Canis lupus familiaris: one gene and its partner. Each later gene encodes a partner of the first gene's protein in a complex. Links are inferred from orthologs where the notes say so. Each region holds a gene or a part of one and is shown in the gene's direction. Other genes may lie near its edges. The genes, in order: SLC9A1 and CHP2.

What was found.
Region 2: the proteins of SLC9A1 (region 1) and CHP2 are in contact, whole or in part, in a crystal structure (PDB 2BEC), measured with the Homo sapiens proteins. The link is inferred for Canis lupus familiaris from reciprocal best matches to the Homo sapiens genes SLC9A1 and CHP2. Residues at the interface, in NP_003038.2 of Homo sapiens: Ser517, Ile518, Asn519, Glu520, Ile522, His523, Thr524, Gln525, Phe526, Leu527, Asp528, His529, Leu530, Leu531, Thr532, Gly533, Ile534, Glu535, Asp536, Ile537, Cys538, Gly539, His540; in NP_071380.1 of Homo sapiens: Arg30, Arg34, Leu38, Leu51, Ile54, Ala56, Leu57, Asn60, Pro61, Leu62, Ile66, Phe70, Phe83, Leu87, Phe90, Tyr118, Ala119, Leu122, Tyr123, Met136, Val139, Leu140, Met143, Ile156, Arg159, Thr160, Glu163, Ala164, Phe177, Ser180.

Annotation. Positions count from the first base shown.
Region 1 is NC_049223.1:72,491,445-72,495,244, forward strand, and holds part of SLC9A1 (sodium/hydrogen exchanger 1), read left to right. Parts: intron 1-100; coding exon 101-303; intron 304-1,810; coding exon 1,811-1,900; intron 1,901-2,386; coding exon 2,387-2,457; intron 2,458-2,576; coding exon 2,577-2,750; intron 2,751-3,010; coding exon 3,011-3,125; intron 3,126-3,259; coding exon 3,260-3,361; intron 3,362-3,800. UniProt on the Homo sapiens protein: Electroneutral Na(+) /H(+) antiporter that extrudes Na(+) in exchange for external protons driven by the inward sodium ion chemical gradient, protecting cells from acidification that occurs from metabolism.
Region 2 is NC_049227.1:22,371,031-22,375,613, reverse strand, and holds the start of CHP2 (calcineurin B homologous protein 2), read left to right. Parts: upstream 1-1,685; 5' UTR 1,686-1,725; coding exon 1,726-1,792; intron 1,793-2,074; coding exon 2,075-2,147; intron 2,148-2,237; coding exon 2,238-2,318; intron 2,319-2,417; coding exon 2,418-2,548; intron 2,549-2,705; coding exon 2,706-2,767; intron 2,768-3,920; coding exon 3,921-4,043; intron 4,044-4,224; coding exon 4,225-4,278; 3' UTR 4,279-4,583. UniProt on the Homo sapiens protein: Functions as an integral cofactor in cell pH regulation by controlling plasma membrane-type Na(+)/H(+) exchange activity.

The DNA of each region.
Region 1 (3,800 bases):
TGGGTGGGTATACTAGCCAAGGCTTCCTCCAGGCAGAGCAGGTGCAGAAGCCAGGAGGGGCTGGGGACAGCATGACACTCTTCTTGCCCTTCCCTGGCAGGTGTGCTGGGCCTGACCTGGTTCATCAACAAGTTCCGAATTGTGAAGCTGACCCCCAAGGACCAGTTCATCATCGCTTACGGGGGTCTTCGAGGGGCCATAGCCTTCTCCCTGGGCTACCTCCTGGACAAGAAGCACTTCCCCATGTGTGACCTGTTCCTCACTGCCATCATCACTGTCATCTTCTTCACCGTCTTTGTGCAGGTGCTGGCCAGGGCGGAGCGGCCCTGCCTGGGGACCCTGACTCTGCAGGTGGAAAGAGGAGGCGCACAACCTGAGACAGAGCCATGGGCTCTGGTCCACCGATAACTTGCTACACAATCTTGGGCAAGCCGCTCCTCCTTTCTGGGCCTCAGTTTCCTTAATTGTGAAGGGGGAATTGTGATAATGAGCGACCAGTCAGAATGCTGCCTAACATTCAATCCAGACAGTGTTGAGAGAAGGTGCAGTCAGCAGGCTTGTGGTGCTCATTATAGGGCTTTAGGGAAATGACCTAATGTCTTAGGATCTCCATTTCTGTGCCTATAAAATGGGAATAATAGCACAACACGGGGAGCTATAAAGATTGCTGAACTGGGCAACAGGAGGTCTGGAGTCAGCCCAAGCTCTGCTGCTCTCCTGTGACCCTGGGAAAGACCCTCCTGTTTCTGGGTCTTGGTTCCCCATCTATGAAGTGAGGGCAGATGATCCCAGAGTCCCTCCAGCCTGCTGGCCAGTGATTTCTGTGCATTTAATGACCCTGGCTTAGCTGAGAGTTCCCCCAGCCCCTTCAGAATTCCCAGAAAAACCCAGCCTGGATGGTGTAAATTGCTCCACCGTACCTGACCTCTGACTTTGGGCAAGTGAGAAACAGTCTGTCCGGGCCTCCATTTCTCTGTCCCTTCTGTCTTTCCTAGACATAAATCTTGGCAAAGCTTTCATGGGAAACAGCATTGCCTTCTCAGGAGAAAACCATGTGGAGACATCTTCCTGGGGCCAGACTCACCTTCTGTCCCTTACAAGGATAGGGCTCTTTTGCCCTCTTGCCCTGTTTCCATCGTCAAAAACATTTTATCACCTTGACTTTGCAGTTGTGTACGCTAATGGCTAGCCAGGCCCATTTTCGATGAAGTCAGCATTGAGGGAGGGGTGCCCCTGCCTGGGTTTGAATCCAGCTTTACCACTACTTCTGTAAGACCTCAGGAAATTACTTAACCTCTCACTTGTAAGATGGGGACAATGGAAGAACCTACCTCTCAGGGTCAGTGTGGGTATTCAAGAGCTAGTACCTAGTAAATCACAACTAATTCTGGCACGTGGTATTCGTGCAATTAAATTAGCTTGCTGCGGCCGTTACCAGCTGGTCAATTGCAGTCCTGTGAGGGAGGTAGAACAGAAGTGGTTTTCCCTATCAGCCAGATCTAACTTCTCTGGGTTACAAAGCGCATTTGAGGTTGAGTCCACATTTGAACCCAGGCCTTCTGACCCCCTCACCCGGACTGGATGGCTGATGTGTGAGTCATTCAGCTGGGTGGGCTATGTCTTCAGGAAGAAGTGGGCCTTAAGGACCTGCCTTTGTACAAGGGCTGACATGAAGGTTGGGGGAGTGGGGACCTCAGAGCAGAAAGCATCCCAGCTTCAGGGGCTCTGGGTGGTGGTGGGGGAGAGAGGCACTGTGGCCTCCCTGCCAGGGTCACTGACCTGGAGTGCCTGACGCCCACCTGTCCTCCAGGGCATGACCATTCGGCCCCTGGTAGACCTGTTGGCTGTGAAGAAAAAGCAAGAAACGAAGCGCTCTATCAACGAGGAGATCCACACACAGGTACTGGACACTGGGCCTTGGCTGCTGGTTGCAGGAGAAGGCTCAGGGAGCTGGGCAGCAGCTAGGCCTCATGTCCGTTGCTTCACTTGGCCCCTCCACCCTTATCCCAGTGCTGGGTGATCCTTCAGCCCCTTGAGGTCACCAGATCGTGCCATAGGCACATGTAGTGTGGGCAACCAGGAGCCCACTCTAGGAGGGGGTGTCATGCCATTTCTACCTCTAGTAGGAACCTAACCCAGGCATTGGGCACAAGTGGATTCAGGGAAGGGGGCTCAGCCAGGCTCCCTGTCGGGGTTTGAGGTGCTACAGGTTCAGAATGAGTGAGATGTTGGTGCCACCTGCTGGCTGCTCCTGGAACTACAAGGCTGGGCTGAGCAGAGCTGCACCAGGGTGGAAGGTGGGGGGTGAGGGGGGCCTGTCAGAAATCTTGGTAGGGAAGGAACCTTCCCAGTAGTGAGGCTTGACCTGGCCCTGGGCCCATTTCAGTTCCTGGACCACCTTCTGACAGGCATCGAGGACATCTGTGGCCATTACGGCCACCACCACTGGAAGGACAAGTAGGTGGCAGGCCTGGTGGGCTGGTGGGTGGGGAGGGGCAGGTGAGGGTCTCCCTGGGCCTGGGTGTCTCCCCACCCTGAGGAGCTGCCTACACGCATCTTCTCCCTCCTCCCACCAGGCTCAACCGGTTTAACAAGAAATATGTGAAGAAGTGTCTGATAGCAGGGGAGCGCTCCAAGGAACCCCAGCTCATCGCCTTCTACCACAAGATGGAGATGAAGCAGGCAATTGAGCTGGTGGAGAGCGGTGGCATGGGCAAGATCCCTTCTGCTGTCTCCACTGTCTCCATGCAGTGAGTGCTGATGGCCAACGCTGGCAGCTTCCGTACCCCCACACCGACCCAGTCCACACCAACCTGGCAGGCCACCAGTGGGCCGGGGGGCGGGGCAGTGGCAGGCCCCTCTGTTGTCCCAGCAAGGTGGCTGAGAGAGCTGCAGGGCCACAGATGACCACCCACGCATGCCATCCCTGGGATGACTTCCTGGCCTAGGACAGCAGGCTCCAGGGTCACAGGAGTTTTCTGGGGGACCTAACCTGTGGCCTGTTTTGCAGGAACATCCACCCCAAGTCTCTGCCTGCTGAGCGCATCCTGCCGGCACTGTCCAAGGACAAGGAGGAGGAGATCCGCAAAATCCTGAGGAACAACTTACAGAAGACGAGGCAGCGGGTGAGGGGCAGCTCCCTGCCGGGTGCCCTACAGCAGAGGAGCCCCTCTGCTCCAGCCCTGCCCCACACAGGTGCAGAGCCTCCCTGGCCCCGTCAGGCCCAGCTTCCGGGGGCTGACAGCTGTTCCTCCCACAGCTGCGATCCTACAACAGACACACACTGGTGGCAGATCCCTACGAGGAGGCCTGGAACCAGATGCTGCTCCGCAGACAGAAGGCCCGGCAGCTAGAGCAGAAGGTGTGTCTGGGACTGGAGCTGGCTCCTGCCTTTCCCTGGGAGTCTGGGTTCTTCTTCTTCCTATACCCTACCATCAAGTCCCTTTGCAGAGAGAGCCACTGCAGTTTCTTTCGACTCCTCTACTTGTTTTGAAGACTGAGCTCCGGGGCAGGTTCCAGAAGCTGCCTCCTCCTCCACCTCCTCCCCACTCAGGGCAGCAAAGAGGCCAGTGCCTATTTGCTGCATCCTTAGGCATCTGAGTCTATCCGTGTGCTTAACCTCTTATTTTCTGGTAAAAACAAAACAAAACAAAACACTAAGGCCAAGGAAGAAGGGAGCTTCCCCAAATAACAATGCAAGGAAGGCTTACATGCATTCATGTTCGTTTGCTCAGGAACATTTTTTTGAGTGGTACCTAAATGCTGAGCAGCAGAGTAGCCTCTGTGGATCCAGCAGTGAA
Region 2 (4,583 bases), on another chromosome or scaffold:
ACATTTGTGTAAATGTGTGATTATGATAGAGGAAGATGGAATAATGAGAGATTTAAAACTGGATACTTCTGTTACTTGTTCCTTTGCAACTGAGTTTCTTAACACTTTTTTCATTACAGCCTGCCCTTAAGGAGTGTTTTTACACTATTTTTCCTAATCATGATATTTTAATACTATGAAATTTTAATACCCCAGATATGCTATATGCTATTTATGCACTATATGTGTATCTGTGTTTTATACACAAAAAGAATATGAGTTGTGGCCCCTCTTGGGGAGATATGTCCCCCACTGGGGATACGTGCTTTTTTTTTTTTATTTGTATTTTATTTATTTATTCATGAGAAACACAGAGAGAGACAGAGGCAGAGACACATGCAGAGGGAGAAGCAGGCTCCATGCAGGGAGCCTGATGTGGGACTCGATCCCGGGACTCCAGGATCAGGCCCTGGACTGAAGGTGGTGTTAAGCCGCTGAGCCACCCGGGCTGCCTGGATACGTGCTTTTCAATAGTTCACAACAGGCTCCCCTGGCAGCCTCCACCACTTAAAAAAGCAGGCAGTCTAGCAGGTGGTTTGAGGAGTGTGAGTTAATCATGCACATTGTGTTTCACAGAAGTGGTTGGTGCATGGTGAGCGGGAAATGAGAGGCCCTGTTGTTGCCACTATCACCATATTAAGCTTGGTCACAGTGATGTTTGTAACCCCCTCTCAGACTGGGGGTTCCTGTGGTGCTTGAGGGCTGGCCTGAGGCTCAAGGCATTCCAACTTGAGCTTCTACCGGAGGTCCCACGGGGCACAGAAGGAAGGGAACTGAGCTGGGTGGAGACTGTGGCCAGGGGACAGGCCGCGATGCCGCATTTACACACGGCACGTGTTCCCCGGGTGTAGCTCCGTGTGCCAGGCAGGAACTGGTGGCGTCTGAACTTTTGATTTCTCGGAAGCTGGCAACTGGATTTCTCGTTAATCTCCTGCATTTTAGCACCGGCTCAATTGGCCATCAACAATCAGGCTATGTGGAAGGAACAAAAGAGATGAAGGCAAGTCCTACAGACTTGTCCAGGGTTAACTGCGTAGCTGGGGGTTGCATCCACATCCTTCCAAATCCAGGGGCCCTTCGGGTCACCCCAGCTCCCCTGTACGGCTCACGACCCTCCCCGCCCCACCCTTCCTGGGGGGTCCTTCAATGCCTCTTCTTCTGCTCCTGCAGCCTGAGGAAGGGGCCCCAGGCTGGGCCCCCGGGGGCTGGGGACAAGTGGGTCCATCCAGCTCCCCGCCCCGCCCCCCGGGGCCCCTGCGCGGGGGACGTGGATTGTGTCCCTGGGTGACAAGGTCGGCGGGCCCGGCCGTCCTGCCCGGGAGCCGCGAGCGGGGACGCGGCTGGGAGTCCCGAGGGTGAGATGGCGCGGCCGGGGGGCGGGGGGGCGGGCGGGCGGGCGACCTCGCGGCGGGCTCCGGCTCGGCTCGGCTCGGCTCCGCATGAAACGCCCCGTTGTCCGCGCCGCCCCTCTGACCCCGCCACGCTGGGCATTGTTCTCCGTCCGCCCGGGTCGCGGGTGGGAGGCGAGGCACGCAGGGGTTCCCGAGCCTGGCTCCGCGCCAGGCCTGCGGCCTTCGGCCCCGGGGCCAGCGGGCGGCCGCGCCCGGGCGCGGGGGGCGGGGGCGGGGCGGGGCGGGGCCGGGGCCGGGGCCGGGGCCGGGGCCGGGCGGCTCAGCAGGCGCAGCCATGGGCTCCCGCGGCTCCCACGCGGCGCGCATTCCCGACGCGGACAGCATCCGCCGGGAGACCGGCTGTGAGCGGCCGCGGGGCTCGGAGCCGGGGCGGGGGGCGTCGGGAGGGGCTCCCCGCGGGGCCGCGGACGGGGGCGGGGGCACGGGGGGGCCTCCGGGCCTCGGGCCCCGCGGGAGCGCGTCGACACGCCCCCCGCAGCCCGGCCGCGCGGCCCGGGTCCCGGGGGGCTGGGGGGCGGGGGAGGTCCCGCCCGGGGGGTGGGGAGGTCCCGGGGAGGGACCCCGGGGAAGCGGGTAGTGGGGAGCGCCCGCGGCCGTGTCACCCTCCGCCTCCGGTCCCGCAGTCTCGCAGGCCAGTCTGCTCCGCCTCTACCACCGGTTTCGGGCACTGGACAGGAACAAGAAGGGCTACCTGAGGTGAGGGACCCGGCCCCAGGACCTGCCACCTGCCCCTCTGGACCCGGTCCCCTCCTTAACCCTCCGTCCCTCTGAACTTTGACTTGACAGCCGCATGGATCTGCAGCAGATCGGGGCGCTGGCCGTGAACCCCCTGGGAGATCGCATCATAGACAGCTTCTTCCCCGACGGGTGAGGTCCCGCTGGGGGTGTGGTGGGGGAGGGCTTGGGGGAGAGTTAAGGGGAGAGGCAGGCGGAGGGCCAAGGTCACCTCCACTCCATTGTCCCCAGGAATCTGCGAGTGGATTTCCCAGGCTTTGTCAGAGTCCTGGCTCACTTTCGACCTGTCGATGATGACGACTCGAGCATGCGAGACCCCAAGGAACCTGAACCCCTCAACAGCCGAATGAACAAACTTCGCTGTGAGTTCGTGGGGACCCCTCCCCAAGCGATGCACCGCACCTCTTAGCGAGCCTGTAGATGACCTCCCCCAAGCCTCCAGCAGGGTGACCTGCTGGAAAAGAACGAGGGAACACTCAGCTTTCCCTCCTCCTCCCCTCCCTCTCTATTCTCTTCCAGTTGCATTTCAGCTCTATGACCTGGATAGAGATGGAAAGATCTCCAGGCACGAGATGCTACAGGTTGGAAGGATGCAAGAACAAGAGATGTGATATCTGACAAATGGGTTGTTGAAGGGAAGGGTTGCGGGGGGATGGGGTGGGTGACTGGGCAATGGAGGTGCAGGTCACTGGGGCATTTTTTTTTAAGATTATTTATTTATTTATTAGACACACACACACACACACACACAGACACAGGCAGAGGGAGAAGCAGGCTCCATGCAGGGAGCCTGATGTGGGGTTTGATCCAGGGTCTCCAGGATCACACCCTGGGCTGAAGGTGGCACCAAACTGCTAAGCCACCGGGGCTGCCCAGGTCACTGGGGTATTAAGTGGGAATCCAGCATTGGGTGGGGTTTAGTTGGGAAATGGATGGGGAACAGTTGGTTATGAGGTTGGAAATAGACTGGTGGTTCTTTTTTTTTTTTTTTAAGATTTTTATTTATTTATTCATGAGAGACACAGAGAGAGGGAGAGAAGCAGAGACACAGGCAGAGGGAGAAGCAGGCTCCATGCAAGGAGTCCGATATGGGATTTGATACTGGGACTCAGGATCATGCCCTGGGCCGCAGGCAGGCGCTAAACCACTGAGCAACCCAGGGATCCCTAGACCAGTGGTTCTTAACTGGAGGTGATTTTACCTCCTGAATGAGTTGGCAATATCTAGAGACATTTTTGGTTGCCACAACTGAGGGAGTGGAGTGGGCAGCACTGCTGGCATCTAGTAGGTAGAAGTCAAAAACGCTGCTAAACATCTTTCGATACACACGATAGCCCCCATTCTCCCACAACAAGGCCCCAAATGTCAACAGTATTGAGATTCAGAAACTCTGTGATAGATTTGATGAAGTGGGGGTGGTGGTGGTGGTGGAATTGGGAATAGTGGAAGGATGAGGAGGGGGATGGGGTGGAGAATGGAGGGAGGTTGAGTTGTAAGACTTAGGTTTGGGTAATGAGTTTGGGCATACTGTTGAGGTGAACGTGAGATAGAGAGACAGGTGGGGGTTTGAATGGAGAAGCAGTAGGGGAAATTATTGGGATATGGTGGGAAGTGAAAAAAAATGGTTGAGAGATAGATTACAAAAGGGGTAATAACATTTAGGATGATGTGGGCAAGGTTTGGGGGATGGGGCGAGTGTCTCCTCTTTATGGCTGTCCCCTGTATGCCTCCCAGGTCCTCCGGCTGATGGTTGGGGTGCAGGTGACAGAAGAGCAGTTGGAGAGCATCGCCGACCGCACGGTACAGGAAGCGGATGAAGATGGGGACGGGGCTGTGTCCTTCCTGGAGTTCACCAAGGTCAGAATGCCCTGAGGCCTGGGGAGTTGACTTCAGGAGTCCCTAGGACAGATGGACATGGGAAAGGAATTTGGGCAGAGGGATGGGGATCGCTAAGGAAAGGTGGGGCTTTGGGGATAGGAGAGGAGGTGGGAAGCCTAGAGGATTGAGCTCTTGACTACCACCCATCTGCCCCTGCCAGTCATTAGAGAAGATGGACATCGAGCAGAAAATGAGCATCCGGATCCTGAAGTGACCCTCTTTGTGCCGTTGGCTAGCTTACACAGACCAGCTCAGCGTGGAATTTATCTTCAGCCCCTACAGAGGCAGGGCCCGCAAAACTGTATTCATGTGTCTATGCTAAACTCTATTTAGGGCCAAGGAGAGAAAGCTGGAAGGGTGTGTACTAAATAAAGTGTAGCTTATTTGATCTCAGATTCATAAATCAGCCAGCAATCTTCTGGTTGCAAGCAACTGAAAACCCAATTTACAGTGACTTAAGTGAAAAGGGGATTTTTATGGGCTCATGTAATTAAAAAGTTTGAAAGTATCTTCAGAATA